5 linked regions of the Callithrix jacchus genome follow. The protein of the gene in region 1 interacts with the protein of each later gene in a biochemical or structural test. Links are inferred from orthologs where the notes say so. Each region holds a gene or a part of one and is shown on either strand. Other genes may lie near its edges.

Region 1 (6,312 bases):
GCCTGGCCAACAAGGCTAAATCAATCTGTCTCTACTAAATATTTACAAAAATTAGCCAGGCGCAGTGGCATGCACCTGTAATCCCAACTGTTTGGGAGGCTGAGGCAGGAGAATCGCTGGAACCTGGGAGGTGGAGGTTGTGGTGAGTCAAGATCGTGGCCACTGCACTCCAGCCTGGGCAACAGAGCAAGACTCCATCTCAAAAAAAAAAAAAAAAAAAAAAGGAAAAGAAAAGACAAAGACATCTTTACAGGTTTAGAATAGAAATGTATTCCCGGAAAAAGAAAACTCAAGCAAGCAAGTAACAGATTAGAGAAATGAATGAGAAAGGCAAAGAGTCAAAATGCAAGCAGCCAAGTAAGGTATGTAAAGAGAATCTGGATAAGCAGCAATTACAGAAAAAAAAAGCTGTTACTCAACATCACTAAAATTCTGCATAATCCAAAATACTTTGTAAATACCGCCATAATCTATTTCCAAAACAAAAGCAACTTAAAGTCTAAATCATATTATCTATAAGCAGTTATTTCAAATAAGTAATTTTGAAATATACACCTATTTTCTACTAATAGTTCAACACCAATGTCTAAAATCATCTATTTTAGAGATTTACCAATATGTTAAATTGTATCTATAGCTATCACTTCATTAAGAAATAGCATACAATAAAAATTTGTGTTCCATGTTTGTACCACTGTAAGCTTTTTATACATAAAGTTTACAATAGTTTGATCTCAAACAGCAAGGAGACTTCATACCTTAGTACTACTTGAATCAGCTGAAGTCCTGAAAATTCATAATTACCTTGAATAAATACAGCCTTTAAGCATCCATTTTGTGCAATATGCACTTTGGAAGTACTCTCTATTTCCCAATTTAATCTAAGAAAATCCAGACCATACTAAAAATATCCAAATTTTGAAGCCATTTTAAAATATTTTAACTGTGTTCTTTTAACCTCTTTTCAAACCTATCACGGTTTAAACAAGACTTCAAAAATATTTACAGTTTGACAATAGTATAAAAACTAAAATTTAAGCTAATTCAGTTATTAACAGAATTCCAAGTAAACTACGAAGTAATTTAGGCCTTACTGAGAAGAAAAAAAGAAACACAAAGGTAAACACCACACTTTATAAAATGTGTTGCCTGCACTGAAACATACTACTCTTCTCCTGGAAAAAAAAATCAAGAACTAAATCTAAAAATAGAGGTTCAAATAGTCATTTTCAAGTGCTGCAATACTTTTTTATTCAAAATTTGCTAATAAACAACCATCTTCATAAAGCGATAATTCTCTGTAAAGGACTTGCTCTGTTAAGGTTTTGCTGCTTTGAAGCCAAGTATAAGCCATATAAGGAAACTGAAGTTCAATGTCATTTATTTTGTTGAGCTCTTTCAGATGCCCAAGAATAACCTCTTTTGCAGCCTAATGATGTGTTCCAAAATCATACAGTAGATCAGTTATGCATTTTAAATTATTTGATAAAGCTAGTTTGACTTAACAGGAATTACTTGATGGTTCACAAATCTTACCAACAATGAAAAAAAAAAAAATCTCCTGAGACGATGCCCTGGAGGGGAGAAAAAGTTAAAAACTACAGTAATAAATAAAAGACTGCCTTTGGAAATGTACTTAATGAAGCTCAAGTAGCAAAGAACAAATTGTGAAATAATTTTATCCTGAACTTTAAAACCTAATTTTTCCTCTTTGAACTAAGAAATCAACTCTCTCCTCCAGTTTCCGGTCATTACGTGAAATAGCATAGGCAATCTAAACATCAGTATATATTTAGGATATACTTACCACCAGGATACCAAATTTATTTCATATATATTCAAAAGTACAGTATTGTATTTCACCTCCCTGTACCACAAAAGTACTGGGGGAAAAAACTAAACAGAAAAAGACTACACCACCACTGAAAAAAAGTGTGAGTTTACTGCTATCAAAACTAGTTCGATCTATGAAGACGACCCATTGGTTCAGAAGTGTTCATAGCTCTGACTGGTGGAATGTCTGCCATGCTTCATGAATTCTGCCCCCACAGATTTAGGCAGAACCTATCACTATTTAGGCAGAACCGACCAAAAACATTGGGGCCAACACAAAAATGTAAATACCATACTACTCAAAAAGTACAGCTTTTTATCACAATCACTGCGATTCCCTTGAAAATCGTTTTAAGCGTTTTACTTCCCAGTCTGCTCTGAACTGTACAGAAGTCCTAAGAAATCAAACGTCTTACAGGTTGTTGTTATTGTCGTTTAATTACACCTCTCTATGCTTAGTCCTCACTCCTTTTTTCCTAATGGATCAGTTACAAGAAAAGTCTAGTCGATACTTGCTTTCAATTAATTAAACAAGTTATACGGCGCTAACCTTCTGAAAAACACACGTTACTACACAACTAAAGAAATATATTATCCACTCTGTAAAACAACTAAGAATGGCAAGATTTTTTAGTAGTTGTTTCTAAAATCCAACGAAATATACTGATTAGGGTTGGGAAAAAAAATAAAAACTTCTATATTCGATTTACGCAAGTGCCAATATAATCGGTAGGAGTATAAACAAACGCGGCAGCCATCTCAATAACAGCAAATCACTCGCAGCAGCGACCAAACTTTCTTCCCAAACAGAAGGTGCCAGACTGAGCAACTTAACATACACTCTGTACGTTCGAGAAAGTCAAAACTTCTGGCCCCTGTACTGAACAAAGACACTCGTTTCTTCGGATTGCTGAAAACTTTTCGTCCCACTGCATTCTAACAACCTCTTCCAAAAAATCCAAAGTCCAGATGGGGGTGGGGGGAGGGGCTGCAGTTCGACCAATTGGCCCCTTAATTATTATCCGCTTCTATATGAGAAAAGGAGGATTTAGGACAACTGGAGAAAAGTGAAAAACAGTAAAGTTCATCTCTTTTTCCGAGTCACAAAGTCCCATGAACATTGTGACTCAGAGACGCTTTTCGTGAAAATTACCTTTCGGTGGGATAGCGTCTCAGGGCAGCTTTTTCAAGGCTTCGCTTGACATGATTTCCTTTCCTTCATTAGTCACTTTGGATCCAGCTGAATTTCTCTCTCGGGTGAGAGCGGATGTGGACTGGCCTCAAGCAGAAGAGTAGGTGGCTTTGGTGGGGGTTGGGGTGCGGGCTGGCTTCCTGGTCTCGAGTTTTGCAGGAGTTTCCCAGCCCCAACTAGGATCTCCGCCGAGAAAAAAAAACTTTACACTCGTGACACCGCCCGGAATTGCAGTGCGAAACTCACTTCCTGCCTTGGCGAAAAGCAGGATCCAGCTCCGTCCAGGGGAACCCGGAAAACCAGCTCCGCGCGCACCGGAGAGGGGGAGGGGAGGGGACAGCCGCCGGGAGCCTAGGGCTCCGGGCAACTGGCGCGCCCCGCACAACGGACAGCGGCGGCACCCGGCCGGCGGGGGCAAGGACACTGACCAGGCGCTCGACGAGCCTCGGTCGCGCTAGGCCGCCACCGCTCCTCTCCGCCGCCCCCAGAGCCGGGCGGCAGGGTTATTGTCTCGACAGTGCTTGCCGCGCCCTTCGTCCGCGCCGCCGCTGCCGCCGTCACTCGGAGCCTGAGCCGAAGAGCCTGGCAGGCTCAATGGCGGCCCCCTAGTCGGGCCGTCCGTCCTTCGTCCGTCCCTCCCTGCCTTCCCCACTAGTCTTCGAACCCTCTTCTCCTCCCTCTCCCGTTTTCCCGCCGCCGTCCCTCCGCTGCCCTCCTTGTTCTCCTTCCCCAGCGGTGGTGGCTCCAGGAGACAAGCAGGGGGCGGGAGCAGGGGGCAGCTTCGTCTCTTCACGAGCTCGCCGGGCCGCGGTAGGGGCCGAGGCTGCGTCCCGCGCCGCCGCGCCACATTCACTCGAGCGAGAGACTGCGAGGGGAGGGAGGTAGGAGGGAGTGGAGAGAAAGGAGGAGGAATGGGGCAGGGGCGGAGGGGAGTTACTGCCTCACAGGCCGCGGCGGCTACAGCGCCACCGCCCCGACCGTGAAGGGGGAAAGAGGCTGCGCGCCGCGACTCCGCGGCGGGGGCGGGGCGGGGCGCCCTCCCGCCGGCTTCGCCCTAACCGCCAACAGCCTGGCTGGAGGCTGGCGCGGGCCAGTCAGCGCGCGGGGGCGGTGCGGCCCGACGTCTGTGGCTGGGGGCGGCGGGCCGGGGGCCGGGGGCCGGGGGAGGGGCCGCCGGCGGCCGCGGGTTCGCGTGCGAGGCGCGGCGTGAGGCCCGCTCCGGCCCGGGTCCCCGGGCCTGCCCGCCTCTCCCCGCCGGCTCCTCGACCCCGCACTTCCCCTGCTCGCGAGCCCCCCAAGGTGGGAAACGCTGGCGACGCCGACCCTGCTGCCTGCTTGCGGCCCCACGCCCAGCCAGGGAGACAGATAGCCCCCAGGCCTCCCCCGCCCCGGCCGAGGGAGTTTCTTTGTACAACAGTAATCGGTGCACAAGGGTTGCTGGAGTCCAGCCCCTATTTGAAGGCAGCAGGTATCTCTTGCAGCTGCAGCGTTCCAACTTCCTCTAATGGCACGCTCAGGTCGCAGGAAACCACAGCGGCAGTGCCGCGCAGCTTCCCACGCCCGCCCTTGGAGCTTGTTCCCCAGCCGCGCAGCTCAGCCTCCAAGTCTCAGCCTCACACCGGCGGGGAGACAAAGCTGGCGCTGGGAGGGGGAAAATGGCCCGCGAAATGACCTCAAGATCATGCCTTTGTTAGAGGAAACATTGGGTACGCTCCGATGCAACGCAGGCTTCCAAACCCAGCAGTTCGGTGGTGGTGCAGTCGTTGAATTGCGCCGGCCCTAATATTTCAGCCTGGCAGGGTCTGCGTTTACTGCGGAGAGAGACTCTTAAGCATTCTGTCAACACATATGGCAAATAGAAAGCCTCAACCATAACATTGCACAGTTTTTGCAGTTCTTGCTTTAAATATGTTCACAGAAAAGACGGCCTTGTTTTACCCAGAGAAGGAGCGTAATGCGGAAGAATCATCCGCCACCCCCATTCTCTGCTGTACTTAACAGTGATGATAATTACTGAGTCCCTGAAGTCCCTGGTTCAGTTCTGTCTTCCAGAGATAATTATTTATTACCAAGTTTGAATAAAGAGGTATATCCCCTACAGACGATTTTTTGAATAAAGAGCTGTATACCTTACAGACTTTTTTTTTTTGTCTTGCAAAGGAAATTTCATAAATTCCACTAAGTAATTATTTACCAAAAGGAGTTGTACATTAGAGGCAAACACTTGAAATAACGCCGAAGATATTCAAGTTATTTTATTCAGGTTGGGAGCATTTTTAACTACTTGCAGAACTGCTAGAATTAATACAGGTATTATTTCTTTAGTACAGAGCAGAAGTTGAAGATTTACAGGTAGTACTGAAGTGTTCAGATATACTCAGTGCTGAATTAGAGGTAAGAGTATTAGCTAGAAGCTAGGAAATGGTAGGCAGCTATACCAGTAATACCAAGCTGGATATCTATTTTCTGTGAAAATGAATCTTAACCACTGCATACAAAGCTAAAGTACAAGCTATTTGTAATCATCGCTAGGAAGATTTCTTTCTCTGTTTTCAAAAACCGGCGTGGGTCTGATTAGAACTCAGTGGCACAGCTCTGAACTGAAAGGGTCATTGTCCTAAAGCATCCCAGGATGGACTAACTCCCATACCAGTGGAAAACCAGCTGGATTCTGTGATTCCAGAGTTGCCTCTAATCTCAGGTTGATTCAAGACCCCTTTAAATGTGATGCCATAGATTCGAGTAATCCTACCACCACCACCAACCTCCACCCCACCCCCCCCCGCGCCCCGCTCTAAACCTAAACAAGTGATTAGGCCACTGCTTTAGGCTGAGACCTGCCCTGGTCCTAGCCTTTTTAAAATTTAAACTCATACGCAGGACCAATCTGGCAGACTACCATCCAGGCTAGAAAAGTCCCTATAACCAAAAACCTTTTCTCCAACTCACCTGAAATTCTGCCATTAGAATTTTATCCCTTAAGTAGTTTTTTTTCTCTAGCACAAAACCATAATCCTGGGAAAAGTAATATTTTAAGCCTTATTAGTCATTTATACCTAATTCATCAGATTGTTTCCCTAAAGCAGCTTTTGCTGGAAGGGAAAAATAGAGATAACATATGCTGAGGCTGAGTTGACAGGAGAAAGAAATGTAGTCTCATTCCTTGGAGCAATATATAGAGAGTAAAGGATTATAGGCCATAAAAGGACCCTTTTGATGGTTAAATAAGTCCTGCTTACTCATACTGTAAGAATGAGCCCCCTAATACATTGGCCTTAAGATGATGG
Region 2 (5,639 bases), on another chromosome or scaffold:
AAGGAAACCAACCAGCAGCTACTAAGCTATTCTTCCAACTCATCCTTATTCCAAGGGTTCCTCCCCACCCCACCCCCCACCCACTTTCTCCCATTAAATCCTTTTTCAGAATGTCAGGAATCTTCTACCCTTTTAAGAAATTTTATTTATTTATTTATTTATTTATTTATTTATTTGTTCATTCATTAATTCATTATTTTTAAATGGATTCTTGTTCTGTCACCCAGGCTGAGCGCAGCAGCTTGATCTGGACTTACTGCAACCTCCTGAGTTCAAGCAATTTTCATGTCTCAGCCTCCTGAGTAGCTGTGATTACAGGTGCCATCACGTCTGGCTAATTTTTATATTTTTAGTAGAGACAGGGCCTCACCATGTTGGCCAGACTGGTGTCCTAACCTCAGGTGATCCACCTGCCTCGGCCTCCCAAAGTGCTGGAGTTACAGGTGTGAGCCACTTAATAATTTATTAATAATAAAATAATTTTATTATTATGTCCCCAAACCAGCCTATTTAATAATTTTTGTGACATAGAGACAAGATCTCACTATGTTGCCCCTGTTGGTCTCAAACTCCTGGGATCAAGCAATCTTTCCGCCTCAGCCTCCCAGAGTTCCGGGATTACAGGTGTGAGCCTGTAATCCTTTCCACCACCAAAAAGCACTTAGTATTGGTGACTGACAGGTTATAGCTTAAAACATTCCCCCTGTTATCCAGAGTGGGCTTTCCAAAGGAAACCAACTAGTAGCTACTCAGCTATTCTTCCAACCAGGAATTCTCTACCCTTAATCCAACCAACAAAACCCTGCATCTTAAAGTGCCCCCCCACCACCAATTGTCTGGCTTTTTGGGAAGTAGCAGTGAAAGCCTGACCATGTTGGGAATCATAAGTGTGACCTTACATGTGGCTTGCCTAAATTTGATAGTTTGTACTATTTAGTCACGTGCATTTTTGGATTAACGTGAGTAGTTACACTGGTGATAAGACAGTACTCAATCCTGCTATCCTCTGATATCCTCTTCTAGCCAACAGTTGTATTTGCTATTATTCTCTTTTTCTGACTTGCCATCTCGGGGGGATTGTGGAAGCACTACTCCTATTCCTCAATGTCAACAAAAGCCCTTCAGTGACTATTTCTCTCCCTTCCTGGGATAGTGTGTGGTCAAGCCGCAACTGCCCCAGAAGATGAAAACGAGGCACAAGCCGGCTGGATTGAGGGGGCAGCCATACTTTTCTCCGTGATCATCGTGGTGTTAGTGACTGCCTTTAATGATTGGAGCAAAGAGAAGCAATTCCGAGGGCTGCAGAACCGCATTGAACAGGAGCAAAAGTTCTCCATCATTCGAAATGGTCAACTCATCCAGCTTCCTGTGGCTGAGATTGTGGTGGGTGATATTGCCCAAGTCAAATACGGTGAGAGCTCTGTATTTCTTGTACTCACCCCTCGCCCCCCACCACCCCTATTTAAGGGGTAGATCCTTTGGCACGAGAGGGCTGGGAATTGCTGAAAACCTCAGAAGATAAGATCCCAAATTGTATTCACTTCTAAGTTAGAGTTTAAGGAGGTTGGGAGAAGGAATTTCGGAAAGGATTAGCTGAAACTCTCCCACAAGATTGTCAGGCTTGTACCCTGTGTGTCTTAAGGTTAAAGTGTATGATATTCAGGCCATGGAAAGGTGTTGGGGATGAATAATAGTTTGAATTTATAATGCCTGGAAAGCAGTCTTCTCCCAGGGTGAACAGAGCTGAAGTCTTATAAAGACCCTCCATGTACTCTCGGCCATTGCTCTCTAGGTAGGGCCCATGGGAGCAGCCCTGAGATGGGGTCGAAGGAGTTGGAGGTCCCTGTCCTCAGCCAGGTCCCTCTCCTCTTACTACCTCCTTCACTGTCCCCACGTCCTCTTTGTGCTCTAGGTGATCTGCTGCCTGCAGATGGGGTCTTGATCCAAGGGAATGATCTGAAGATTGACGAGAGCTCTCTGACAGGGGAATCCGACCATGTCAAGAAGTACCTGGAAAAAGACCCCATGTTGCTCTCAGGTATAGGCCCCAGCTACCCAAGTTCACATTTACCTCCCTGCAAACAGCCAGACCACAGGATCCAGACCCCGTCTCTCTTCTGGCTATGTCCCATTTCCTTCCCTGGGGTTTAGCTGGGGCAACAGCATTTTGGTGGATGAAATACAAGGATATCAGTCAGCCTAAATGAAGTTTTCCAGGAAACAAGTGTTATAAGGGCCTTGGAGGGGCTCTGCTCGTTGCAGGGGTGGGAGTGGGAGCGGGTGGGAGAGCCTACCTAAAGCAGTTAGATACGGTTTCCTCCTTACTCACAATTTGCCTGATCTGTTTTAAATGCGCCCAGCCCTTGACCTTTTCCTACTGTGCTAAGCACAGCATTATCCATGGGGTAAGGAGGATGATTTTTTTCTTCTTAGTCTGTGTTTCATACCAAATCATGTCTAGGTATTTAAAAACCCTCTCCTTTCCCATGTAGGCACCCATGTCATGGAAGGTTCTGGCAGGATGGTGGTGACTGCTGTGGGTATCAACTCTCAGACTGGAATCATCCTTACTCTCTTGGGGGTCAATGAGGATGACGAAGGGGAGAAGAAGAAGAAAGGTAAGGGGCATCTGGAATGAGATTCTTTTTCCTCTCATTCCTGCGGACAAACAAGGAAGCGAGGGAGCCGATCTGGATAGAAAGCCTAGTTGAAAGAGTCTGCCGCGATGAAGAACGCGGATATCCAGACTGCCTGCCGAGATAAAGATGTGAATCCTTGGCTCCAGGGAGCTCTGATGAAAACTAGATCTTGGCTCTAGGCTCCCAAGTCAGGCTGAATTTGAGCCTTGATTTTTGTGTCTAACTGTAGCTTGTAAAAGGATGAGTTATAAAGCTACGTGAAATGAACTGGCTAGGTGCTGTAGCCCAGATGCCTTCCGTGTACCCCTCTTCCTTCCCCAACTTTCTTCCTCAAAGTTGGGGGGTGAAATGAACCATTGAGGCTAAGAGAAAACTGGCCAGAAGAATAAAATAGATTTCTGTGAAACTGTGGGCTCTCAGTGGAAGACAGACACAGCTAGAAAAGTCAGGAACAGTTAGCTCGGGCTTTGCCACTCAGTTGTTCCTGAAGGAAAGAATAACAGAGGCAGAAAGAGGAAAAGATACTAAAACCAAGTCTACACATTTCCCTAACCATTCCTTCTTCCCTTAGGGGAGAAAAGGTTGCTACCACTTGGCTGGAGGGTCATCTTGAGCTGTTTAGTGGAGGGCAGTTTATGAAAAGGAAACAAAACACATTCTTTCAGGAACTAAGCAATTCATTTCTGCAGCTACCTGCAGATGAATCAGGAGGAAGCTTGCCTGGTGCTGTTGAAGTAACACGGAGACACATTTCAGAGTCTTTGCCGTCAGGAAGAAACAGTTCAAACCTCTCACTTCCTAATCCCCACCCCATTTTCCCAAGCAATGTGACTCAGGCCAGGAGCAAGAGAAAGCAGCTCAGGTGTGAGTATGCACTCACCTACATGAGCGTTTTGGTGGATATCACGAGGATTCATGAGAGCCTCTAGCAAGAATGAATGAAAGCAGAGATGTGAGCTTCCTTTACATTTATGTCCCTTCCCTGCAACCCAACACCTTTGCTGTCGCCCTTCTGGGCTCTGAGCAGGACCAACAAATTAGATCTCTTAATAGTCACTTTGGGTTTCGACCCCACTTTTTTCTTTCTTGTTCAAACAGGTAAAAAACAAGGAGTCCCTGAAAATCGCAACAAAGGTAACCTCTCCAACCACTCATTTATCATCTCTACCTGCCCATGCTCAAACCAGACCTTTCCAGGCCATCTGCCTTCTCCCTTTTCCTCTCCATAAATCTGTTATCTGCTGCTCAGATACCTCACCCTGAGGAAGGTGCAGAGATTTTTTTGGGGTGGTCTCAAGGTCCTGATCCCAATCTAAGATGAGACAACAGCACCCTCTGCTGTTGGCTCACAGAACCTCATGTCACGGTTTCTCTTGGGGAATGCGTAGGATTAATTTGCTCTTCAGAGGGAGCTGAGCTCTGCTTCATTGGCCTCAGCCTGATTTAAACACTAACAGTCATCAGTTTCTGGGTTGGAAGACTTCAGGGTCCTCATAGTGGAGGGAGGTAGGGTGGGCAGTCCCTGCACCCTCCTCTTGCTAGCTTCCTCATCGGTGTCCTCTTCTGGTCTGGATTCCTTCTCCACCAGTCTTCTCAGAGGTGCTTGGAGAGAGCCCTTACTCTGTACCTCTCTCCCCACCTCCTTCTCTGTTCTTGCCATAGTCTGTTTTCTTCCTCCTGATCTGATGTGTGTTTCTCTTTTGGTGGCTGTGTTCACATCCCATCTCCGTCTTCTCGTTTGTGAGTCTGACAGCAGGGACTACTCAGGAAGGGCATCCTACACAAGGGGCTGAGCCCTACAGGGGTGAAAGTGGAGTGGTGCTGGGAGCCAGCAAGAACTGCTCTCTTGAGATGCTGCTAGAGATTTGTTTTTACTTCGTCACCCACATCATAGCAGTCTTTAGAAATCAAGTCGTTACATCGGAAAACCAGGGTTAAACAGAAATAATTCTGTAATTTTAGGTCTTTAACTCTTCTTTTAAAAGCACAATGGATTTATATGTGTCTCTTTCCCTGCTTTCTCTTATTCCAGGAGGTCCCTCACACCAGCTTCTTCCCTCTCCCCAAAGACTTAACCCCAGGTCCCACCCTGTATCTCTCTACCTTTGTCAGGCAGGAAAGAAAGGGAATTTCCTTTTCCTATCCTTCAACTGCTAGAAGGAGCTGGAAAATACTTTGGGTCTGGGGGTATGTGTTTCTTCCCTGACAGTCAAGAGAGAGAGAAAGAGAGATAAAGCATTTAACAGAGCAATCTTGTGCTCTAGAAACATCTACCAACCCTCTCCTTCAGCCCCTTTCTGCAGTAAAGATTCACTATTTTAAGCACTGAGTTCCAGGAAGGATGGTTGTTACAATGGTGCTTAGTGACATGATTAATCCCCTTGCAGGAATAAACCTGGCTTGGGGCTCCGAGGTAGTGCCAGGAAGCTGCCACTGAAGAAGAAATCCATACACTAAAAGCACCCCTGTTTCATCTAAAGTCATTAGAATATTATTCCAAAGGCCCTAATAGAGCATCGAAGGCAAGTTCCATGTCTAGCATGAGTTAGGAGTGGTCAGAACTGATGGCAGAGTCCAAGGTATATTCTGGAAAGGAGACAGGAGGGTTTTTTGTTTCCAACTGCCTGCCGCTCAGTGCTACCATCTTTCCTGCTCACCCGTCCTATTTGTGTATATACTCTAGCAAAGACCCAGGACGGAGTGGCCCTGGAAATCCAGCCACTCAACAGCCAGGAGGGAACCGACAATGAGGAAAAGGAAAAGAAGGCAGTCAAAGTACCGAAAAAGGAGAAGTCAGTGCTCCAGGGCAAGCTGACTCGCCTGGCTGTTCAGATTGGGAAAGCAGGTGAGTAGGGGTGAGTAGGGTAGAGCCTCCTTATGGTTTATCAATGCTATCCTAGATCCTCATCACTGTTATCCCCTTCTTTCTGCACCAACCAAGACTGACAGAAAGAAGCTAAATCTTTAGGATGGCCACTGTTTGGTTGCTCCCTAGGCTTT
Region 3 (5,875 bases), on another chromosome or scaffold:
TGAAGAGAAGAACCTAGGCACAGAACCTGGGCACAGCTACTTCTGGAGAACAGGGCAGGGCACTGGGTGGGCACAGAACCTGGGCACAGCTACTTCTGGAGAACAGGGCAGGGCACTGGGTGGGCACAGAACCTGGGCACAGCTACTTCTGGAGAACAGGGCAGGGCACGGTGGGCACAGAACCTGGGCACAGCTACTTCTGGAGAACAGGGCAGGGCACTGGGTGGCAGAATACCCGCTTTTTACTTTATATCTTGGTGTGTTGTTTCTCTTTTCCCCATAAACAGGTATTCTTTTCACAATTAAAAACTCAAGTACATGCTAGTTTTTAATTAGGAAAATAATACCTGCTTATGGGAAAGATAGAAATAGTTATGCAAGAAAATAAAGTGAAAAGTATACACGGCTCAGTATACCTTTAAGAACAGTACCCACGGCTCATACCCGTGCTCGTTTTCCATTATTGGTGAGGTACCGAGTACAAATACCTGCTTACTCCACCAATAAGGTAACAATTCAAACTGGGTGACTTATGCATCCCACACCCTTGTTACAATGCAGATCAACAGAAATGAAGTTCTGAACGTCTACTTGTTTCAGGCTGAACTGATTCAAGTCCTTGAAAGCTTAGATCCTGGCTTCCTTTGGGCTCCTGCCGGGGCAGTGTGTGTGGCCGCCTGACCTCTGGCTGGCTGAAATGACGTGCAGCAGAGCCGTGGACACGCCTGGGCCAGGTCCACGGACAGGAGACCCCGCTCGGTTCTCCCAGCCACCCGTCCAGAAGACACCCTTGTTGACACCACAGCCACACGAGGACACACACGAGCAATTTCCTCTTGCCTGACGACAGCTCCTAAAAGGGACCCACAGACACCTTCAGGAAAGTTTCCACTTACTCAATCCCACACAACAGCGTCCTGAGCGCCCTCCAGAATGAAGCTCATTTTTCCAGGTGCAGGTGAGGGCCTGGGCACTGTGCCCACCGGCAGGACCTGTCACTGCAGGTTTTCTTCCTAAGACTTCCAGCGTTCTTTCCTTGTCTTTAAAAATCTTCACATTTTCCCAAACTCTAGACTTGAAAAGAAACATGAAATCTTCCAGTATCAAAAACATACAGGATGTTAAAATTTAAAACAGCCCAAAGAAACGGTAAAGCCATCAAGCACACGGAAAACACATCAGAGGATGAAGCGGCACATTCCGTGACGTAAGAAAAATAACCAGTTTAATAATCACAACAGTGTAGCATCAACATCGTAGTAGTCAACACTAGGACACTGTCTATGACATTTCCATTAGGAGTTTCGTCACACTTGGTGTCCCAGAGAGGTGAAGAAATGATTGGCATGAAGGAGTCCACAGGACCAGGGCAGGTGTTCAAGGTCCCAGATGCCCAGCGCATGTGGACAGGTACAGACGCCACCGAGTGTGATGAACGAGCTTCGGGTGCTGCACCCCAACATCGCTGAAAACTCAAAGTGCTTCAAATCTACAGGATAAGAAATGGCTTCATCTCCTCATCCACACACGGTGAGAGCAAAGGAGTAACCCTTGGGCAAATCGTGGCCCCTTTAAACATTTATAGCAAGTTCCCACCCCCTTGGGAGGTCACACGGTGAAACAGATACAGTTATATACAACAGGGCAGGTTTTTAAAAAGAGTTGCTCTCAGACGCATTTTTCCTGCTCCCTAAAAAGCTGAGGAAGATACTGGATCCACAGAAAGAAAAGGCAATGCAGTAACATGAGGCCGTCGTGGCCACACCGTCCAGGGGAAGGGCTGTTAAAAACACAAGTATTCTTGTGAAATACTTCAATCTGAGCATTAAGGCAGGTCTGCAGGAGATCAGACAGCAACGCTACCGGCTCCGAGAGGACATGAGTGTCACCTCCCGGCAGAGGGGCGGAGAGATCAGAGTTGTTCCTGAGTTAACACCTGCTACAACTGCAAACTTCAACACACTCAGGTTAAATGGTTTCCCACTGCAATGTCTTACGCATCACCAAAAAATAACTTGCAAAACTGAAGCTTACCAAAACAGGAAGTGTTGCTCTTTGCTTGTGCCAGCATGAGTGAGTAATATGCTAAGTTTAGGAAGCTGGCAATTCTGATGAAAAGTCCAAGTGAGGCCAGATTCTGCAGCATGGGCCAGGTCCATGCTGAGCCCAGACAGACCCTGTGGCCAGAGTCAGGGCAGGAAGCTGGAGGGACTGCTGGGCACCAGAGACTGTAATTGCCAAGGACAAGGAAGAACCGTCAACAGCAACAGAACGCCCTCCCAGGGTGTCTGGCTCAAAGGCATCAGAAAACCGAGGATTCAGGTGCAGTTAAAAAGGGCAATTTGGCCAACAGACTAAAAATCAGAAAATCTGATGCCAAGTGAGTTGTTCTGAGACCAATAATCCACGGTGCCGCAATTTTGGCTTTTAAAGATAGAATGCCTATTCTATGGGAAAATGTCTCACTTTAAAACCAACCTTTTCATGGGAGGGGAAACCAAAAGCGAAGTCCCTGTGATCACCATGATTTATTGCTGAAGCAGAACAAAAACCTGCCCCGGGCTGCACCGGCTTTGCAGAGCCAGCCTGGGCCCAGCAAGCCGCCGTGAGGACAGCATGTGCTTTGAAGAGCCAGTCTGGATCCAGCAAGCTATGGCGAGGACAGGCTTCCTTCCCCCGTCTCCTCTGCCCTGGGACACAGTGGGGGAAATGTTCCCTGTTTATGCCTGCATTACTTAGTGGAACCTAAGATGTATATTGCTTTATTCTTGCTGAAAGAGGGGAGTTTACTTTTGGTGAACACTGAACCCTGCTGGCTGCAGCCTACGGTGAAGCGGACCTCAGGGGGAGTCTGGCCTGACAGCAAAACTCCACCCATCAGTACCAGCCTGCAGCATGACCTCCATCTGCTTTCATCAGCTGCAGTGACTTACAATAAATAATACATTCTATTTACAAGTTCTAATAATATCTCTCTTTAAGGGAGGACAAAACTATTTTGTTATTACCGAACTAGCCTATACAGAAACATGTGTCATCTCCCAAAATGCAGCAAACTTATCTGAGAATCACAGTACTCAGCGGACAAGAGCAAACACCTCTAGGTGGATGCACTGGTGCTGCACGGGCCTTCCTCGAGCTCAAGACTGAGTCTGTCAGCCAGCAAGCTGCCCTCAGAACTCTGCAGGTCTGGGACTGTCACGCTGCTTTAAGACTTCTGAATGGGAATGACGTGTACCTTTGCAGGTATAAATAAGGTTATTTAGAAATACCGACACGGGAAGTACTGTCACAGCACGGAGGAGGCCATGATGGTGAAAGACAAACCAGACATCCACCAGGCTTTTGCTTCCGGTGGGTGTGGACGTGGGAATTCTCATTCATGTAGCTGGAAAGGACATTCTAGCACAGGGATTAGCCCTGACAGAACCACCACAGGTATGCATTCAAACTGGGATATTTACAAGTAACATGTATATATAATATTTATATATTCGATTAAAAGCCTGGACAACCAAGCCTTTCAGTCAAGTCACCGAACTTATTGCAGAATGAGGTAACTGAGATGTTCGCAGTGGGATTGACGCAGCTCAGGTCCTCAGAGTCAATCCCTCCCATCTGGATTCTTCCGTGATGGTTTGATGGTCTCCGTTCGCAGAATAAGCTCCAGCTTTTCTATGTGCAGAGAGCCAGGTGGCATCCCACAGCCCTGCCTGTGGTCCTGAGCGCACCCTCAGAACTGATCTTGGACAGAAAGAACTACGGACGCCCCTTACAGATTGGTCTCGTCCCAGGCAGGATCGTTCATGTTCTTCAGGACCCTCCTCACCAGCTTCTCTAAGTCTTTGCGGGCTCTCTGCTCTTCCTCCAGAGACTTCTTCATCTTCTTGTTGTCCTGAAAATTAAGCAGATCACAGTACGCTCACTATCTCTGCGACCGCGTAGGGCTTCCTTTCCCCAAATACGCATCCTCGAGGAGCTAAGGCCTCAATTCATGAAATCCTGCGTGAGCTGCCTGTGGACTGTGAGGTCATAGGGGTCCGTGAAGCTTAACCACCTGGACAGGGTGGCGGTGCTCCTGACTCTGCAGCTGCTCCCAGGATGAAAACGGTCCTAATGGCTCTTATGAAGTCCACAAATGAATCTCTATTGAACATACCGTAAGAAAATGGCTGGAAACTGCAGATGGGATAGCTCCTACTCAGCTTTTCTGTGCATTTATAACCACCTTCCAGAGTTATAGAAAGGACTAGAAGTAACAGCAACTGACAGGTGCTGGAGCAAGGGAGTGAGCACCTGCTCTGAGCAGCTGAACCCGGGCACATCTCAGGATGAGGAGGCACGCGCACTGGGATGTGTGCTGCTGCTAGGGGCAGAGCATGAACATGGGAGCCCACCCACCAGCCAGAGGTGTACCTGGACACCCAGCAGACACTGCGTAGAATGGCGGAGAACTGTGCAGTCCCACACAGCCACCTACTCTCAGCTCTTTATCCAGGCCATACTCCTAAGGCCGCTCCTCACCCAAAATATCCCAACCTTCCCCCGTCTGGCTAGAGAGGGGGCCAGTCACTCATATTTAATATTACGTGCCAATGTCCAGAACACGCCTAGTGAGTCACCACATCTGGCTTGCTGACTTGGCTTCGGAAGCCAAGGACCATCCAGTGTCAGAGGCTAATCTCAGGGGTACCCCACAGGATTTGTCACCAGACAGAACTTCCGATATTTTAAAATTAATCTTCCAACAGAATTTGCAATGGTTTATGACATCAAAATCAGTATTGTTAAAAAAAAAAAAAAAAAAAGACTTGAAACAAGTCACTTTACAGACAACCAATTGTTTTATCTGCTGGACTTCTGAGAGACAAGACCTCCTTTCAGTTTTTGCTTATAGACAATCAGCTTATTTTTATGTATATGTAATTTTTTGAGACAGAGTCATGCTCTGTCACCCAGGCTAGAGTGCAGTGGCATGATCTCAGCTCACTGCAACCTCCACCTCCTGGGTCCAAGTGACTCTCCAGCCTCAGCCTCCTGAGTAGCAGGGATTACAGGCAACTGCCACCATGCCCAGCTAATTTTTGTATTTTCAGTAGAGATGGGTTTTTGCCCACCTCAGCCTCCTGAAGTGCTGGGATTATAGGCGTGAGCCACCACACCTGGCCAGCTTCTTTTTAATAAAGTGTTTTTTCTTCCCATTTGGAAAAAAAAAAAAAAAAACTGAAAGATGGATTGTGACGTACCTGTCTTAACTCTTGCACTTCATCCTTTAATGCATATACAGTGTCCACAAGACTCCTGAAACAGGAAACAGAGCACACACATAAACAGGGTGAGGCCTGGAGAGGACACACGGAAACGTAGCAGGAGACACTACGAGGCTGAGTGGAGTACACGGGCTGCTCTGCCCTAGGCTGTGGACCGTCTACATTCACAACTAAACACCGCCAACCTCTGTGGATGGCAGGTTCAAGCCTAATCAAGGGAGCTTCAGTCTCTGATGAGATTTTAAAAGTGAATCTTCCATCCAGGTGCAGTGGCTCATGCCTGTAATTTCAGCATTTTGGGAGGCTGAGGCAGGCAGATCACCTGAAACTAGCAGTTTGAGACCAGCCTGGCCAACAGGGTGAAATCCCATCTCTGCTAAAAATACAAAAGTTAGCTGGGTGTGGTGGTGCAGACCTGTAATCCCAGTTACTCAGGAGGCTGAAGCAGGAGAATCACTTGAACTCTTGGGTTCAAGAGGCAGAGGTTGCAGTGAGCTAAGATCGCACCATTGCACTCCAGCCTGGGTGACTGGAGTGACTGTCTTAAAAAAAAAAAAAGTGAAGTTTCTGAAGTCACACCCCTACCCTCAGGGAGTTGTTCAGAC
Region 4 (5,639 bases), on another chromosome or scaffold:
CTTTGTCCATTCTAGTGATAAGAGAACAAAGTAATTTTCAGTAAAACTTAGAAGTATCTTGAACAAATAACCTAAAAATCTTAACTGTGAATGTATGTCTATTTTTATTGAGATTTTTTTCTATATTAAAAATCAGTTGACATCTGTTTTTAGATAATTTTTTATAAAAACTGGATTATAAAATGAAGCACTGTTAGTAAAGCTCATGGCACAGGTTTTAGATCTTTTGAATAGAGGAAATTGGAAAGGGCATTATAGGTGTGATTCATTGAACTAGAGGGCATTGGTGTTCACATTTTAAAAACATAATCATGACTTATCTGGAGTCACATGTTCCATTTTATTGGCTTCCTTCATATAGAAAATATAGTAACTAGCACTAAATGCCTGTGAAAAAGTGAAGCAATTGTATATTTTCTGGGTGAAGGAAGTATTCTGTACATTCTCCATGTTTTACATCATGGTATTTTGAATAACCATGCTTCCATGTTCACATCAATTTTTTGTTTTTCAATTTATGCACAGCACTTGCTCTGAAATTTGGGGACTGAGTACACCAAATACGATAGATCAGTGGGATACAACAGGCCTTTACAGCTTCTCTGAACAAACCAGGTGAATATTCTGCCCTCTGTCGAATCCTAGAGATCTTGTGGGTGGGGGGTTATATTTTGGAAGACCTATATGGGGTTGCTTAGTGTAATTTTGCCTAGGATGTTTCCTTAATGTAAAATAAGGCATAGCATTTAAAATATCTGCTTGCCAGTATAAAAAATATATTAAATGTTTCAGCTGATGTTTTAATCAATGCAGTTCTAGTTTGAATCTTCTTTATTGTATCCCCTAAAGAATAAGAAGTTTGATAACTATTTATTTTAGCTTGAGATCAGATTATAATCTGTTGTTGGGCTAATTTTTAAGTAGATACATGATCAGTTTTACTAAATTTGTTATCAAAATCTCATCTTTTTACTAATAAATACATATTTAATGAACCCCTTATATCACAATTAACAGTAGGTTAACTCATTTTTATGTTACTTTTTAAAATCATTTCATTCTCTTTTTTGCGTATATGGTATTTGTTCATTTCATCTCATCATATTCATTACCATCCACATTTATTTGTGAACTATATAAATATACCTCAGTTCTCAAAGCAGTCACAACTGGGTAATGAGTTGCAGTAGTCTGAGGAAGTTACTATCACATCATTGTTGGTATTTATCATTCTTCACACTAGTTCCTTTTTTGACTGTTCAGTCACCTCCAGAATTAATACCCTTAGAAGCATCTCTAAAATGAGTTTGATTGACTAAACATAGAAGTTGACAAAGTTTTTCCAGTATAACTGCATAATACTTTTTTAAAAATTAATTTTCCCATGTAGTTAGCCTTTCATTGGCATTTGAGTCATTTATGTGACATATTTATCAGAAACATTTGCTAGTGCTGCTGCATACTTTTATCAGATCCATTAAATAGTACATTTTTCTTCTTGATTCTCACTAAAACTAACTAAATGGCTGTCATTCTTTTCTTTATGCTCTTAATGTACTAATTTATTATTCCATTTGACAACAGTTTTTTTTCTAAAGTTTCCTCCTTTCTTTTTCCCTTGCTTCCCAATAGGTCTCTTGATGGTCGTCTCCAGGTATCCCATCGAAAAGGATTGCCACATGTTATATATTGCCGATTATGGCGCTGGCCTGATCTTCACAGTCATCATGAACTCAAGGCAATTGAAAACTGCGAATATGCTTTTAATCTTAAAAAGGATGAAGTATGTGTAAACCCTTACCACTATCAGAGAGTTGAGACACCAGGTGGGAACATTGCAAGTTTTTTTCCTGGTTTTGTATTAAATGCCTGAACTTAAGTATATTTAGGTACTGTTGTGATCCAGGAAAATTTTAGTGTAAAAATCTAATAAATTACCTTAAATTGTGCATATTATTTGGTGGTAATTTAAAATGTTTTTTATTTTTTTAAATTTTTAATGGGAAAACATATCAGGGAAAGATATGTCTGTTTCTTGGAATAGCATATGATTTGGCATCGAAGTATGTATCCAGAAAATACTGTAGATTGGCAGTCTGCTTAGAGCTACACTGATGTGCTTCTACATGTCTCTGCTGCAGTAACTTATTTTTAAGCATTTTGCACTTGGAGTGCTTTTAGAAGTACTTTAATGACATTGTTTGTATATAAGCTGTTTAGTAAAGCTTGTGACAAGACTTTCATTTAGTTAGTTGTCTACCTGAAACTATTAAAAAATATAGCAATAGCTGTGAAAGTTTTCTATATCTGATTTTACAGATAAAGACAATGTTAACTTTTCCAGTGGGGATATATGAACTTTTATGGTAATATAATGTTACCAGGATCACATTGTTCCCAAAAGTTTGAGATAAATTAGAACTTGGAAATTTGAATAGTAGCCTATGTAAGTTAAAGCCATAGTCAGATTTGTCATTTTTTCAATAACTGATAGATACCTAGTTAAATAAACTAGTTAAATATATAGTCAAATAGGTGGTTCCTAACTTTAAAAATTAAGCTACAACTGCTTTGTCGTCGTCTTGTTGCAAACTAAAAAAGGTCCCCCCACTCTCCTTTGCTCTTTGCCGTTAACTTTGATTTCTTGAACTTTTTCAGTTTTGCCTCCAGTATTAGTGCCCCGACATACTGAGATCCTAACAGAACTTCCGCCTCTGGATGACTATACTCACTCCATTCCAGAAAACACTAACTTCCCGGCAGGAATTGAGCCACAGAGTAATTATATTCCAGGTATTTTTGCCTTCTGAATCTCCTAAAACTTGGATAGATAGAAATTTTGTTTATAAGCATTCAAGTATTAGTAAATTGTGGTTTCACTTTTTAAAAAATGCTTCTTAGTTTTTAGTAGAAAAATCTGGTTTGTTGGGCGAGTATCTTGTGAAATGTCTAAGCCTAGTAAATTAAACAGTTTTGTTTGGAGAAGAGTTTTACTTTATATTTCATTTTCTTTTGCAGTGACTTTAATCAAAGTACTGTGAGAAGCAGAAAAGAAAAGATCTTAGTAAGTTTGTCTTAGTTGTTGAAGCTAAGCGAGATGCAGAATGTAAGCAAAACAAATGGTGTAGGAAAAAAGTGCCCCCGAAGCACATGTGACTGAAAATCCACCCAGTGAACATTTTTTCTTAGCTAACTTGGTAATATTTAACAGAAATGTAACATTTTTATAAGAAATATACTTAGTTTTATAGACATAGCAAAACTTCCATGTTATACTGAACATCAGAAAACCTTTGTTTTAATTATGTTCTGTCTATATCTCAGTAATTCCAGATGAAAAATGAATTCAGCTACATGGTTCTCAAATTTTGTTCTGATATATTATGTGATCCAGTAATACTCCACCATATGATATCTGGCTTTTTCATTTTTAATTTTTTTTAGGAGAACAACTAATATTTTGTTAAGTTTTCTTGTATGTTTCCCTTTTTGTTTGATTTTTCTCCCTAGCAGAAATGACGTGATGTTAGCTTGAGGATTAAACTATAGTGTCTTGATTTCTTTCTTCCTTTTGTAATGTTCCTCTGTTCCACGCTTATTTTATACACTAAAAATATGTAAGGAACTTAAGAGCATTTACAAAAAATTTAAAATACAGTTTTACTACTTAAATAATTATTTCTTGTATTCATCATGGAAATAATACTTACTCATTGAAGATAGTTTTTTTTTTTTTTTTTTTTGAGACGGAGTTTTGCTCTTGTTACCCAGGCTGGAGTGCAATGGCGCGATCTCGGCTCACCGCAACCTCCGCCTCCTGGGTTCAGGCAATTCTCCTGCCTCAGCCTCCTGAGTAGCTGGGATTACAGGCACTCGCCACCATGCCCAGCTAATTTTTTAAAATATTTTTAGTAGAGACAGGGTTTCACCATGTTGACCAGAATGGTCTCGATCTCTTGACCTCGTGATCCACCCGCCTCGGCCTCCCAAAGTGCTGGGATTACAGGCTTGAGCCACTGTGCCCGGCCGATAGTTTTTAATATATAAGAAAAGGAAGAAAAAAAGAAAAGGAAGATAATAACTAAGAAAAGTAGTATTTTTTTTTAATAGCTGGTTTTACAGATGCGAAGTGGTTTTTGATTATTTTAATGTATATTTCCTTGATTACTGTTTTATTCCAGAAGAGGATTTAAGGCTACTTTTTAGGTTTTTAAGAAATACAAACTTACTAAAGTTAAGAGAGGGAGAGGGTGAGATATAGTATGATATACTAGGATGAGGGAAAACATGAGACTGTGAAACAGGGCAATTGCTGGGTAGAAAAATTTGGTTTTACTTTTGTAAACTTGGCTGGGAGTGGAGTTTTGTGAATGTTGCTGTCGGGAAGGGGAGGCATTTTAAGTCATTAGTGTGGGAATTACTGTTCAGCCAGCAATACTAAGAAACTTAGGTACAAGCATGCAGTATTGTAACACACATACCCAGTAATTATTTGGAAGGATATTCACCAGAATGTTTAGTGGCTTTCACTTGTGAAAATGTTTGGGCTCATTTTTCCTTGCTTTTTTATTCCTTTAATTATTTAGATTGGAATATTTTGTAAAGTAGAAATAGGAGTAGATTATACCCATTTGCTTTTCTAGACAGTGGGGCTTTATCCAGTTCCAAGCAACAGCAAAACCACTTTAAGGAAATTTTAACATTTTCTCAAAAATGCTAATAGCTTTATTATTTATCATAATGATAATGGAAAAAAATAGGATACGCATTTTAAGGTTCAGCATTTCTTTCTGATTAGATCTTTGAGATATTGGTTAAACTCACAAAGCTTAGCTCTGTTTAATTTTATTAGCTTTAACTTTTAAAATATGCATAATATGTACACTTATGTTCTTTATTGTTTGAGCATAAGAAGATAGTTTATTCTTAGAATTTTTGTTTTAAGAATTTGGGGGTACTGACACTTAAATGAAAAGTTTGATACTTAAAGTTTGTGGTTAGCTTATTGAATAGATACTGTAAAAGGTTATTGAAGGATACCCTTAACCCTCTGGTCGCCCCCTCCCCCCCTTTTTTCTTTGAGATAGTTTTATTCTTGTTGCCCTGGCTGGAGTACAGTGGTGCAATCTTGGCTCACCACAACCTCTGCCTCCTGGGTTCAAGTGATTCTCCTGCCTCAGCATACTGAGCAAGCTGGGATTACAGGCATGTGCCACCATGCCCAGCTAATTTTTTATATTTTTAGTAGAGACGGGGTTTCTCCATGTTGGTCAGGCTGGTCTCAAACTCCTGACCTCAGGTGATCTGCCTGCCTTCACCTCTCAAAGTCCTGGGATTACAGGCGTGACCCACCATGCCCAGCCTCTTTCTTTTGCTAATTTTAAAATTCGGTTTGGATATGTGTCGGTGTTATCTTGAATTGCTCAAAAATGTTCAGCAGTGTAAATGTTAAACTGATGAAAATCTTTTGAACTTGTTTTTCCTCCTGGGAATTACAGTTGAGGAAATCGTATACATGATTTTATTTTATATGCAGTTTATTCAGCTATTCAGGTGCCTTTCTGAACATAAATGTTTTATTCAGACAGCATGTTGGAAATAATGTGTTAGTATCCTAATGTTTATTTTCAGGGAGCATT
Region 5 (6,072 bases), on another chromosome or scaffold:
TATCTGGGATAGGAACAAACAGCAAAAGGGAAGCATAATTCATAAAGTTTTAACATGATTCAATTAAAATGTCCAAGCTTCAATGTAACTTTCATCTTTAGCACCTCATTACATCTCATTTTTCATCTCCCTGAAAGCATTCCATTGCTGCACTGGATTGATCTCATAAATTGCTTTTGAGAAACAGGTCCCAAGATCCTGTGCCCTCACCCTTGCTTTTTACCATCCCAAGAAACATCCTTTGAATGAGCCAACAACAAATATTACCAGTTATTTGCTTCTGGTATGTATGAAAGGGTACAGTGTGATATCATATTGTAGAGGTACAGAGAGGGTTTGGGGCCAGTGAATATGATCTTTCTCATTTTTAGAGAAACCTCTCTCCCTGCTTTTGGAACGAACTGCAGTAGGGAATGAATTGAGGCAAAGAATGTCTCTAGAGCCAGCATGAAGTTGCCTTTCTCTCAGCTCCTCCACCAGGATTGAGGCCAGGGGTTACAGGTTAACTTATGCATGCCAAAATTTCAAGCTGCATTAGCTGAAAGAAGTTAGAAAAACCAGGGTCCACTCCAGGTTTCATTTCTTCTCTTCTTTTTTCTTCACACTGATTACAATTCCATTTGAGGGTGTGTTCGTTATTTAAAAAGATAAAAGAAAAATCAAACAGCAACAAAAAGCAGCCCTCCAGGTGTCCTTTTCCAAGCCGGCAGCGGTTAGGTGAGTGAGTGCAGGGCATATCTATAATTCAGCTCGGGAATATTTCCCTTAATAATTAATTGAGCATCACAAAAGGAGGAGGCCCAATAGGGCCCTTGAACAAAGCTGCTTCCCCGAGGACGACAGTGACCGTCCCGGCGCCAACCAACCCGCCCAAGGTCGGATTTGCTCCAACAGTCCGGGCACGCGCCGCCACTGCCTGCATGCTTCATCGGGCGCGCTGGGAGAGGTTCTACAGAGACCCTGTCGCCACTTGAACTTCTGGTTTTGTGTGCGCGCGCGCGCGTGTGTGTGTCCATGTGTTCACTCACGCACGCTCGCGTGTGTGGAAGTGGGGTGGGGATGAACTGTAGAACCTTTTTTTTTTTTTTTTTTTTTTAATAGAAATGGGCAGTGGGAAAGATCACTAAGATAGAGATCCTCGGGCTGCTGGGCCCTGTGGAGCACGCTTAAACCCCATTCTCCACAAAAAAGGAAAAGAACAAAAAGACAAAATAATAATAATAAGCATAAGACAGAGACTTCCCGGAGCCAAACCTCTAGCCTGCTTGATTCTGGCAGGCCTCAGACAGGCGAGCTGTCTACTTTACCGTTTTAATGTGGTCCAAAGAAATAAGCAAGAAACAAGGAGAAACCCTTCCTCAGATAGAAACTTCAGCCAGTCCGCATGAAAGGCCCAAGAAGTTTTTAACCAGACGTTCCTGCTTTAGGGGACCAAGGACTTGCCCGAGGTCCCGGCTTGCAGCTAGGTTTAACTTTCAACTCAGTGACCTTTTCCTTATTTTAATGCAAAAATTCACGCTCAGAGGTGGAGATTTAAAATGCGAATGATACATAGGTTCTATGAAGAAGTGCACCAGAAAATCTCCACCTCTATATGCTCTGTCCATAGTTCCCCTATGTCCCCTTATGGGAGAGGCCCGTAAAAGAAACCCATACCCTGACTTCGAGGAGCAGCCCACTTTTTTTTCTTGGTGTTAGCTCCCTTGTGCGCGCAAGATTTAATTAAAAGAAAGAAAACCAAAGAAACTTGCTTTCTGCTAAGATCTCCTTGATTTCTATCCTGAGGGATCCAAAGAGCCCTCGGTCGGTACCAGAGCCGTATTTCTTTTTGCAGCAACAGGTTATCTGCGGGCTCTTCCCCGCTTTCCAAAGCCCCCAGCCCCGGGCCCACCCTGGAACTCATTCATCTCTCCAACCCTCTTCCCGTAGGACTGCTGCTTCCCTTGCACAGCCCCTAGCCTGGGCCTGATTCCAATTTCGTAACATTCCCCTACCCGGGGTGGAATACAGGTTGAAAGTCGGTCTCCTCCGCACCCCGGAGGCCCAACCCCGACCCTGAAGCCACTCAACTCCTGTGTGCAGGGAAGGCGGAGACTGGGGGATCTGGGCGCGCTGGCAGGCACAGGAGGGCTCCCCGCCTGCAACCTCGCCGGAGGTGCCCCGGGCTCCCAACCCGACAAACCCGCTTTGGGAGGGGGTGGGGTGTGGAGAAGAGGACGAGGCTCGAGGGGAGATCTGGAGAAAGCAAGTTAGGGAGTGGAGAAGATGTCCCAAAGGACCCCATTTTCAGGACTGCACCTCCCGGGGAGCTCCCCGCTCCCAGGCCCTCTGGGGACTCCCGCGCTGCCGTCGAAACCCCCATTCCGGCCCCAAAAGGGACACTTCTCCAGGATTTGCTCCTCTCCTCTGGGGACCGCAGCCAAAGACTCCTGGAATCGATCCCGGATCCTGGGAGTCTGGGGGCCCGGCCAGAGTGCGGGGAGTCGCGGCGTCGTGACTGCGCCCTCCCCGCCGCTCCTGGAGGCGCCCCTGGCGACCGTCGCGAACGCCACACCCTCGGCTCGGCCCTGGCCCCGCCCCCGCCCGGCGCGCGTTCGCGGCCAGGGGAGGCGTGTGCTGCTCCCGCAGCCAGCGAGAGCGAGAGAGGGATGGATGTTGGAGGAGCAATTCGGGCTTAACAAGTGATCACTGCTGTCTAGGATTTTGCTTCTTTTCGGGGGAACCTTGACTTCCTTTCCCAGGCAATCCCTCCTGTACTGAACTCCAGAGGAACCAGGAGTCTTGGGGTCTTCTCTGGGGCAGCCCCGACCCCCACCCCCAGGCTCCAGCCGCGAGGACTCTGTGCCCCCCGCCGGGCCAGGCAACAGAACTTGTTCCGTGGATATTTGGAGCCTCCACCTGCCAAACCCGAGTGATTCCCTTTAACACTCCAAGATCATTCTTCCCCTCCTCCAGCTGTTGCAGCTTGAGGGGGAAAAACAAGCCAGCCGGTGGATTTTCTTTATTTTTATTTTTCGCCCCGCCGGGGAACGGTAAGTATGATACCTTTTCAAAAAAACCCTTCCTCCGCCCTCTTCTTTTGGCTGTTAAGAAACAGTGGACCTCTGAGGGATAAATAATATCGGGAATGTGACAGAAGGGCATGAATGGAAGGCGGTTAAAAATAAACCAGGAGGTGGGAGAAGGGAGGTGCGGATGCTGCGCGGCGCTCCGGGGGGCCAACAGTTGTTATTTTCCCAACCCTGGGGATGCGGTGAGTGCGCCCTGGCTAATGTGCTGGAGCGGGAACTGAGGTCTGGAGGCGAGGGCGCGATTAAAGATGTCGTTTCCCAACGAGAGGGTTAAGATTTAGCATCGTTTCGCCTCCTCCGATCCTCACCGGTTCCCTTCCTTTGGGAACAGCTGGTGAACGGGTCTGAATTGCTGCCTTTCCCAATGTTTGGATTCGCGTGCATTTTCCGAGCATTTGAGCAACATACATAGGGGCTGCATAAATGGCGTGCGTTGAAGTGTATATTTCTCACGGTGTTGGCTTTTCTGATTCCCTCTCTCTCTCTCTGTCTCAGTTTCTCTCTCTGTCTCTGTCTCTCAGATAAGGTTCAGGTACCACCCTGACACAGTTGCAGGAATTGGCACTGAGAGACGGACAGCCTTGTTGTTGGGGGTGGGGGGCGGTGAGAGGAGGAGGGGCGGGATGTTTGGCTGTTGTTTGGGGGGGGTGCGCCGGAATTAGGGAATAGGTAGTCTGCAAAATCCTGTTAGTTTAATGGTGTTAAAGAAGAAGACAAATTCCTCTGCAAAGATCACTCTCATAAAGGCTCCTGGGAATTGACTTGAATAGACTCTCTTAACAGGAGTACCTTGAGAAAGAAGAGAGATTTTAAAACCAGTCTGGTTTGCTGGAGGAATGATTTTTCTTTTCTCTTCTTTCTCTCCCTCTTTCTTTCTAAATCAGAGATAGTGAAGTAACTAATAGACAATAAAAAGAAGGCAATTTGCTATTTGTCTGGTGGAGGAGGGAGTTAGATAAACAAAAACTAATAATCCCAAATAAATAAATAAATAAATCCCAAATAAATAAAATAAATGTGAAATTATTTGGTGTAGAGCAGAAAGAGGGCAGTTCTAGATCTCCCGAAGAGATGATGGTGAATTAGAAGACTCTCTAATTCATGACCTTCTGGGAGTCAGTTGGGTGGGAGGGCAGGTATGTGTAGTACTCAGGTATACAGGAACTTGGGCTACACTGGGGCTTCATTGAAATGATCATTTTGGGGGAGCTGGGGAAGAAACTGAGCAAACTCTCAAGCTATCTGGTCTGTGCAAGTCTTGAAAGGATGTTGGCCTGACACTCCACAGTGAATATCACCCCAGGATGGTTTTGTAAGCAGAGATTTAGAGACTCCTTGAGGGTAAACATTTCAGCGTATGAGATGTTAGCAGTCAGGCCAAGGAAGGGAGCTAGCATGTGAGATGCCCTCAGTGGTGTATTTTCTGGGGTTTGTGTCACAATCAAAATGCCCTTCTTGCCTAGGAAATTGAGTATGATTGGGAAGGGGTATATGATTGGGAAGACTTCTGTTTGCCACTTCTATGCTTGTCACTTCGTGAAATTCAGTGTGTTTAGGCTGCTAGGCTGACAGGATCAGCAAGAAGCAGCAGGTGGTCAAGAGCTGAATCCTGTTAATGGCTTCAAAAAGCCATTTCTCTTATGCTTTCCAAGTGCTTCCAGTAATAGAAGCTGGTAGATGCCCTGAATTCTGGCTATCATCATTCTCTCCAGTTCTCTGGGTTACTCCCTGCATTCTTGGAAGTCTTGTTGAACAGAGTACATGGAAAAGTCAAGAGGAGATAGGAGATTTGGATGGCGGCTTTTACAGGACTTGGCTGAGGAGATGAATTACCTGGATCTTGGGAGAACAAACTAAGGAAGAAGAAGGACCAGGTGACAGAGGGAGCAGATCAGAGCTGCAAGGGACATGTGATTAGGAAGTGGAAGATTGTAAATAAAAGTGGGCAAAGAGAGAGAGACGGAGAGAGGAGGGGGATGTTGGGGATGTGGATTTATTGAAGTGAAGGTGGGGGTGTATTATAGGCTAAGAATGAAGTCCACACAAGCTGAAATTTAAAAACTAAGGAGATAGTCCCTTGAGCAGAGTGTAGGAGGAACCACTGAGGTGAACATGGGGCGACCACAAGGAGAGAAAATGATTATTAGGGAAGTGGAAACTGGCATTAGTTCCTAGTCTGTGGGTGGTATGGGGTGTTCAGGATTAAGGGGGACAGAAAAACAATGGGGACATGCTACAGGGAGTCAGGCAGTGCCAAGTTAACACAGGCCATTGGTGAGTCTCAAGATGTCCTGTATGTCCTCACATTCCATCTTCCCTTACTTTAGTGGCCTAAGGACACAAACATTTGGGACTGTGTAGATAGACAATAAAAACATAGGTTACTGTCATGTTATTCATAACTGCCAGTGTTTCATTGCCATTCATTAGGTAAAAGGCACTGTGATATTTTATCAACATCCATTATCTCATTTAATCCTTACAAACATGGGCTCGGGGAAGTTGCATTATTATTTGTACTTTATGGATGAGGTGATTGAAGCTCATTCAAGTGGTGCCGTCTGGACAAAAGAATGCTGTTTGGTTTTTGTTTTTCTTTTTTTTTTCTTCTGACTCCCCTAATCCTGAGTCAGAAGATAGGGAGGAGTGGAAGGGCACTTAATTCAGAAACATTTTACGAGTGGAAATTTTAAAAACTGCCTCGACATAGATGAATGATGGAAGCAGTTATAAAGTCACAGCATTATTTTTTGTGGAATGAAGAGAGTGACAGTGAGAATTAAGACCTGGTGTTCGTGAAGGGGAAGATAGAAACAAGAGCCATGTGGGCCATGAGGGGAGAGAGGAAAAATAATTGAGTTGCCATAAAAAATACTGAGCTAATATAATAACCGAAGAAGAAGCAAAGAAGGATGTTTAGTGAGTAAGAATAGCCTGCCCCATACTCTTTAAAATGTATGGGTGCTTAGTGTGTTATATGACCTGCTTGAAGTTAAGAGAA

What was found.
Region 2: the proteins of ERBIN (region 1) and ATP2B4 interact in a test that uses a peptide from one of them, tested with the Homo sapiens proteins (2 studies listed by BioGRID and IntAct). The link is inferred for Callithrix jacchus from reciprocal best matches to the Homo sapiens genes ERBIN and ATP2B4.
Region 3: the proteins of ERBIN (region 1) and ARHGEF7 interact in a test that uses a peptide from one of them, tested with the Homo sapiens proteins (2 studies listed by BioGRID and IntAct). The link is inferred for Callithrix jacchus from reciprocal best matches to the Homo sapiens genes ERBIN and ARHGEF7.
Region 4: the proteins of ERBIN (region 1) and SMAD2 form a complex in vitro, tested with the Homo sapiens proteins (2 studies listed by BioGRID). The link is inferred for Callithrix jacchus from reciprocal best matches to the Homo sapiens genes ERBIN and SMAD2.
Region 5: the proteins of ERBIN (region 1) and KCNA4 interact in a test that uses a peptide from one of them, tested with the Homo sapiens proteins (3 studies listed by BioGRID and IntAct, with this or other methods). The link is inferred for Callithrix jacchus from reciprocal best matches to the Homo sapiens genes ERBIN and KCNA4.

What each region holds. Positions count from the first base shown.
Region 1 is NC_133503.1:143,566,516-143,572,827, forward strand, and holds the start of ERBIN (erbin), read right to left. Parts: upstream 3,895-6,312; 5' UTR 2,769-3,894; coding exon 2,673-2,768; intron 1-2,672. UniProt on the Homo sapiens protein: Acts as an adapter for the receptor ERBB2, in epithelia. By binding the unphosphorylated 'Tyr-1248' of receptor ERBB2, it may contribute to stabilize this unphosphorylated state.
Region 2 is NC_133520.1:30,768,359-30,773,997, forward strand, and holds part of ATP2B4 (plasma membrane calcium-transporting ATPase 4), read left to right. Parts: intron 1-1,153; coding exon 1,154-1,411; intron 1,412-1,912; coding exon 1,913-2,038; intron 2,039-2,492; coding exon 2,493-2,618; intron 2,619-3,737; coding exon 3,738-3,773; intron 3,774-5,322; coding exon 5,323-5,484; intron 5,485-5,639. UniProt on the Homo sapiens protein: Calcium/calmodulin-regulated and magnesium-dependent enzyme that catalyzes the hydrolysis of ATP coupled with the transport of calcium out of the cell. By regulating sperm cell calcium homeostasis, may play a role in sperm motility.
Region 3 is NC_133502.1:26,850,739-26,856,613, reverse strand, and holds the end of ARHGEF7 (rho guanine nucleotide exchange factor 7), read right to left. Parts: intron 5,302-5,875; coding exon 5,247-5,301; intron 3,896-5,246; coding exon 3,773-3,895; 3' UTR 1,204-3,772; downstream 1-1,203. UniProt on the Homo sapiens protein: Acts as a RAC1 guanine nucleotide exchange factor (GEF) and can induce membrane ruffling. Functions in cell migration, attachment and cell spreading. Promotes targeting of RAC1 to focal adhesions. May function as a positive regulator of apoptosis.
Region 4 is NC_133514.1:90,964,017-90,969,655, reverse strand, and holds part of SMAD2 (mothers against decapentaplegic homolog 2), read left to right. Parts: intron 1-525; coding exon 526-615; intron 616-1,632; coding exon 1,633-1,826; intron 1,827-2,658; coding exon 2,659-2,793; intron 2,794-5,639. UniProt on the Homo sapiens protein: Receptor-regulated SMAD (R-SMAD) that is an intracellular signal transducer and transcriptional modulator activated by TGF-beta (transforming growth factor) and activin type 1 receptor kinases.
Region 5 is NC_133511.1:95,333,916-95,339,987, reverse strand, and holds the start of KCNA4 (potassium voltage-gated channel subfamily A member 4), read left to right. Parts: upstream 1-2,624; 5' UTR 2,625-3,032; intron 3,033-3,155; exon of another isoform or gene 3,156-3,253; intron 3,254-6,072. UniProt on the Homo sapiens protein: Voltage-gated potassium channel that mediates transmembrane potassium transport in excitable membranes. Forms tetrameric potassium-selective channels through which potassium ions pass in accordance with their electrochemical gradient.